Bombyx mori: one gene and its partner. The main gene of each other region encodes a partner of the protein of the gene in region 2 in a complex. Links are inferred from orthologs where the notes say so. Each region holds a gene or a part of one and is shown on either strand. Other genes may lie near its edges. The genes, in order: integrator complex subunit 9 and integrator complex subunit 7.

Region 1 (2,821 bases), on a different chromosome or scaffold from region 2:
ACTTAGACATTTTTGTCCACCTTGAGATTTCATTGATCTTGTTACATGTCTGCAAAATCAACTTACTTATATTAAATTGCTTATCTATTTCAAATAAAGACTTATTCCCAATTTCGCTTCGAATAAACCAGATTTTTACCAACAAATTTAAAAAATATTGTTATAACTACATAGACAACCCTACAAACCTGTACCTATTTATACTTAGGTGGTTTCCATTTCACGTATTCTCATCCCAATTGACCCCTTTTTCGTTGTTATTTGCACCTAAGACGTCCCCAATATCCCCAAAAACAACAGATTTTTACATGTATTTTTATTTAATCAAATACATTAAAACCAATAACAACTGAGACTTACTTTTAATATATATTCTGGTTCAAACACTAAATAACGTTTATAAATCATAGTCGTCTTCTATTATTATCAAATAAATAAAAGAGAGCAAAGTTTCTAGCACTAAAATAATTACCACCACAGGAAGTTAATTTGAAACGCGATTTTTTATAAGTTAGCAGCTATTCTACTATTAAACTACAAAAAATGGAAGATTTTGTAACGAATATAAAACTTATATTGAGCATCGAAAGATTTTCCCGGTTTTTTCCCGATTCGCCTCTCAATCCCTAATCGCCCCATTTTACCGGTACTCGTTTTGTATCTTCGACGCATTTTGAGTGTGTATCTATCGGGCTGTTTTTATATTTTCAACGATCACTGCTTTATTATTACGGATTCCAACTCTGCCAGCGTTGTATGACAATTGCTTCTACACTGTACACCGAAGATCGCTCACACGTTTGACTTGAAATTGTTGCATTGGATACTGTTGAAATTATGGATCGCTGTGTGAATTGTGGGATAGCAATTCCATATTCCATACCTGATATATATCATTGATATTCATTCATAATATGACATTTAAAAGGTTATCCAATGGATATAATAAACATTTACTTATGCTTAAATAAGTTATTATTCAGCTCTTTTAAAGAGATTGTAACATAATCTAACTTTTACTAAATCTTTATTAACTCGGCTTTCAGATTGAGAAAACTTTTATAATTTTCAGCAAGGTACTGATAAATCTGAATCTATTAATTCATATTAGTTTCATCACGTTACATTCGGGCCCAAAAATGTATGTAATCGTTTCAGTCTCCTTTCTGTACACTAAACGAAAATTTCGTAGATCCAATATTGCAATAATATGGGCACACTACATTTTATTAAAATGTAAGTATATGGTATCCGAACCTATTCTATTTGCATTTAATCAATTAGTAGCACAATCGGGCCCGGCCGGGACCTCTTCACGCGATTCTATTTATTTTATTAAAAATATCTATCTATAGAGCCCAACTGTGAGACGATCAGTCGAAATCCGCAATAATTTTTTTTTGTTACTCTTGTATTTATTGTTTATTGTACGCAAGTGTCATATTGCAGAACCGGACTTCCCGTACACGGAGGCGCTGGCCCCCTTCCAGCCGCTGAGCATGAAGGCCTTCCACTGTCCCATCGACACGTCGCTCAACTACTCGCAGGCCAACAAGCTGGTGCGCGAGCTGCGGCCGCGCGAGCTCGCCCTGCCCGAGCAGTACGCCGCGCCCGGGCCCGCCGCCGCCGCCGCGCGCCCGCACATCGCCGCCGACGTGCCCACCGTGGTGGTGCGGCGCGGCACGGCGCGGCGCGTAGGCGGCCGCCGCACGCTGGCCCGCGGCACGCTCAGCGGCAGCCTGGCCGCCCGCCTGGCGCCGCGCGACCTCCGCGCCGGCCTGCGCGCCGCGCCCCTCCGCGCCGCGCTGTCGCTGCGGGACAGCCGCCTGCACGTGCACTCGCCGCCGCCGGGCGCGGGCGGGGCGGGGGGCGCGGAGGCGGGCGGGCGCGTGGAGTGCGGCGCGCCGGACGTGGAGGCGCTGGTGCGGGAGCTGCGGCGCGCGGGCGCGGAGGAGGCGCGGGTGGAGCGCGGCGCGGACGGCTGCATCGTGCACCTGCCGCGCCACGACACGCTGGTGCACGTGGACGCGCACGCCACGCACGTGTTCTGCGAGGCGGGCGCCGACCTGCGCCTGGCGCTGCGGCAGGCGCTGGCGCTCACCGTGCCCACCATATAGCGCCGCGCTCCACCCGCGTGCGTGTGTTCAATCAACAAATCGAACCGTCGATAAAATTTAAACAAAAAATTAAATATTCATTTATGAAGTCGTTTATGAACTTTCTCAATATATTTTTAATGTGAAAATCAAAATTTACAACACAGCTTTATTTGTAAAAAGGAAAATAAATGTGTTTATAACGTATCATTTTTAATTTTTTCGAAACCCTCGTGGACATGTGTATAGGAACAACGCCATGGGCTCTGTACCCCCCGCACGCGTAGCGAGATGTCTTACTCAATAAAAAAGATTTTCTTTTCCTCGTGCGACAATCTGCTTTTTGCGACGCCGCTGCTGCCAGTATGTAGTTTTTAAAAATCTTCCAATGTCAGCAACTTTGTTATATAAATGGAATGAAGTTGATTTATTTACAGCTAATCGTTTTATATAAAATAAAATGAATCTAAATAAAGCCAGATGAGACGAAATGCAGTAGTGTCAGTACTGCGGCGGCGGGTCAGTCAGACCTCCCTGCCCGGCCGGCAGCCCGCGCACGCTTCACGAGCCGCCGCTGCTACACGCTGCGACCGGGAGAACCCCTAAACTAACAATATTGAACAGGTCCCACAGCCGCGCGCAGCCCCCCGCACCGTGCTCCCTGCCCCCCCTGCTCTCTACCCCCGCCGCCCATATCCCGCTGAAAGCCTTTAACACGTCTTTAC
Region 2 (3,936 bases):
TGTATATTGAAATTGAGATTTCAAGGTAATAGTAGTTCAAGGTATATTAGTGATATTTAACTTTGTACGATAATAGGTTCCATACAGCCATATCTCAACAAAGTAAACAGATTTGTTTATTTATGCCCTCGTTTAGTAACCAAGAGCCTAAGAGATGACCTGGAAGATGCTAGTCATTATACATTTTAACAGGTGGCAGGATGTCTTGTAAGTCCATATGGGTAGGTACCACCACCCTGCCTATTTCTGCCGTGAAGCAGTAATGCGTTTCGGTTTGAATGCATCAAACTCATGTCTCAAGGTGGGTGGCGGCATTTACGTTGTAGATTTCTCTATAGACGTGGGCCGTGAGCTCGTTCACCGATTTAAAGCAATAAAAAAAATTATGAATAGTCACCAATGAACAACGATCCTGGTGAGGACATCCGCAGCGGTTGCGGCTTGCTTCAAGTCAGCACTGAGAGCGGCTTCACTGCAGTACTGCCTCAGGGCACTGTACTCGCCGCGCTGAGGACACCCTGCCGTGGCGCACACTGCTGGGCACTGCACCAGAATCTAGAAGGATAAATTGTCATGTAATCTCCTTGAATAAAAACATGCATTTTACCAATTATAATTAATACTTTTAAGTGAGTCCTTTTTTCAATTAAATAAAGCACAGTGAGATATCTTATTGTTATTACCTGCATTACTCGAAGGCACAGCATAGTGTGGTCAGTGTCTCGACTATCGCTAGCGGCTCTGACCAGGTTCTGTATACAGTGTGCGGGCCAGAGAGCTGCATTCTCAGCCAACTTCTTGAGGCCAAGCAGTGCGGAACGACGTACGGCTGATCGGGCGTCATTCATGGCTATATTTAGCAGTAGTTCAACCTATAACATTAAAAGCACTGAAGTTTTTAATAGACCTAGTAATGTTATAGTGAAGTAATAAGCTTGATTGTAGTCCGAACACTATGAATGCATCTTTCTTCTTATGAGCTTTAAAATGACTCCTTAAGCAGTGATTTGATACTGCACTAAACATTGCTAAGCCTATAAGTTATGGTAACCACGTCTGATCAGGGCTTCACTTTGTGCTTCTGCAGTGACTTTTTATAATCATATAATGAATCATTCTTACCTGATCAGGAACATGAACCACTGTATCTGAAGCTATATGTGTGAGTGCAGTGATTGAAGCTCGCACCGAACTTGACGAAGGAAACTTGTCTAACAATGATCTCAATAATTTCAAAACTCCTTGTGCTCTGATTGCTAGAAAACAAAAAAAAAAGGTTAAGTGTAATTCTAAATTACTTATTAGGTGGTTGGTTTATCAACTTTATTTTTATACATGTTTAAGAATAAAGAAATTAATTTGAATAAAGGTAGGTAACTAGTAAAATTCCTGATTACCTCCACCATGAACGGTCCTCAGGGCTCTGACAAGTTTTGCTCGTCTCTCAGCAGCAGTGCCCTCACTTTCCACCATATCTGATAGCTTATTGCACATGGCTACTGCGAATGAACTAAAACACATCACAATATGAGAAAATACAAGTACAAAATATGCATTTAAAAGTTTGAGAGACAATTAAATAAGCAGTTTATACTTCTGGTAATTAGTAATACTTAGTTATGGTTTGGATTTTTTTTTTTTTATTGCCTTTGTAGGCAGACGGGCATACGGCCCACCTGATGGTGAGCGGTTACCGTCGCCCATGGACTTCAGCAATGCCAGGGGCTGAGCCAAACCGCTGCCTACCATTGCATTGGATGCATTGGATACTTTTTATTAAGTACCTATTTGGTTAACAGATTAAATTTTTGCCTCAATGACAGTTTTTGCAGCTTATGACGGCACTTACTTGGAGTGGGCAGCAAATCTAGTAGTAGCATATATAGCAGCATCAACTTCAACATTGTCATGGCTATCCAAGCCCCTTCGGATTGCGTGATGTACATTCTGGCGCTCTGGGATAATACCTGCTACTGCACCAAGCGTTCTCAGAGCGAGAGCCCTAGCCACCGGATCGTTTGAGTGTAGAACACTAAAGATCCTCCTTAAGAACTCGTCTACGTTCAGAATCTTATCTAGGTGCTTTTCGCTTTGTTGACAGACTCTCAAAACCCAGAGTCTCAAAAAATTGTTACCCATACGAAAAACGTCAGACAATTTAAGAAAAGATGAATTAATTAATATAGGGAAAGGATATTTTTCGAAAAGACGAGGGAACCGGACGATGGCTTCACATTGCTCTCCTACTTTGCACGACCGTAGGCCTGGAGAAAAAAACATTTTTTATTTTGTTTTTTAAATAAAAGTTTTCTAGGTATTAGTAGAGGTTATATTTACCTTTATCGAGCTCGGTCAATGCTGAATTTGCATCTTGTTCAGGCTCCGCCGAATTGTCGTTGAATGTATTCATTTTAACACCAATCATTATCCGTTTAGGTTATTTAATAAGAATAATTTTAATTTATTTTGTTTTGATTGTTTATGTAAACACCCAACGTCGTGTATCATAGAGTCGTGTATTATCTACCTAAGGTGTATACCTAATCTATGGACCTAATGTCTACAATAGTGTTGTCGAATGTTGATTTACTTTTAATCGATCCTTTGCGTGCCACAAATCTCATTACTCGATTCATCGCATCAATTCAATTACAATCATAGTGTCACTAATACAAATACATATTTCATTACAATTTAGATTACAATGCCAAATTCGCATTCTTTCAACGTTTGATTGCCTTCATTGTAATAGTTGAAAACTACCCATTCAGTTTCCGAATAGATAAATTTCGCACATTTAAAAACTATCTTAGTAAAAACCTAAAAAATGATTTGATTCAAACAAATGATTTTCTCTTTCTTTTCTCTTTTACTATCATAACCATATTTATTTAATAAACACAATACATTACATTATTATATAATATTATTATATTTATGTTTCTAATCGATACATTCAAAACATTTGTTTGGCGTGAAACATCGATGTATTTCTTCGTGATGGTCCTATTTTTTTGTACATTTTATGGTCTGGTACCGCGATCTTTATATCATCACCGTATTTGTCTGTTTGGGATTCTGAAGCATATAATTGATAATATGAAGTGAAATGAAATGAAGATGATTAATTTGAGGCATCAATCAACTGGGATGAAATGAAAGGAAATGAGATGAAATGATATGGGATGAAATATAATCTCAGTAAAATAGTGGTCATTCACTGAGATTCTTTCAGACTTTTTGGAGGATCCCGAGAAGTTACGTCCAGCGGCTTTGTTTCATTTTCCCACATTTGTGCACTGTCACAGATATTAAACAGTTAATAAATCACCGTTATTATACATTTAAACCTGAAGAAAAACTAAATAGACAAAATAAAACAAAATATCACACAACTTCACTCCTCACGTTCCCGCTAAAAAGTCGAAATAGACTGATTATAGTTTGGCCAATAAGTTAGGGGTAAAATATCCATAATTCGCATAGAAAATATTTAATAAATGTACACAAGTACGTACGGCTGATTTTTCAACAGGGAAAAAATTGTAAACAAAACTTCTTTTTTGTTTTGAGCGACATCTATCGCCCATTATGGGTCAATAAACATAAAAACTAGAGTTTTAAAGTACATTGGCAACTGACAACAGATGTCAGTATGGTCCTTGTTTTTAGTTTACAGGTACTGAAATACTATGGTCTGTAAATATTCAATTATATTTAACGAGAAAACTCCGCTTTTCGGGTATTTTATGTCTTGATATATTTACATTTATATTGCCGCTTAGAATACTGCCATCATTAGTTAGAAATTGGATTTAATATGTATCACTGAAACGAAAATTGGTTACCAGATTTTGAATATTACCGTTTTAAAAATTAAAGATCGATAACACAAAGTTTAATTCATGCAAATGTGCTGTCTATTTATAAATATCA

The links.
Region 1: integrator complex subunit 7 (region 2) and integrator complex subunit 9 share a complex: the UniProt entries of both Homo sapiens proteins name them as parts of the integrator complex. The link is inferred for Bombyx mori from reciprocal best matches to the Homo sapiens genes INTS7 and INTS9.

Annotation. Positions count from the first base shown.
Region 1 is NC_085111.1:136,566-139,386, reverse strand, and holds the end of integrator complex subunit 9, read left to right. Parts: intron 1-1,449; coding exon 1,450-2,117; 3' UTR 2,118-2,303; downstream 2,304-2,821. UniProt on the Homo sapiens protein: Component of the integrator complex, a multiprotein complex that terminates RNA polymerase II (Pol II) transcription in the promoter-proximal region of genes.
Region 2 is NC_085129.1:14,670,722-14,674,657, reverse strand, and holds the start of integrator complex subunit 7, read right to left. Parts: upstream 2,557-3,936; 5' UTR 2,426-2,556; coding exon 2,338-2,425; intron 2,265-2,337; coding exon 1,850-2,264; intron 1,511-1,849; coding exon 1,398-1,510; intron 1,257-1,397; coding exon 1,123-1,256; intron 873-1,122; coding exon 684-872; intron 556-683; coding exon 398-555; intron 1-397. UniProt on the Homo sapiens protein: Component of the integrator complex, a multiprotein complex that terminates RNA polymerase II (Pol II) transcription in the promoter-proximal region of genes.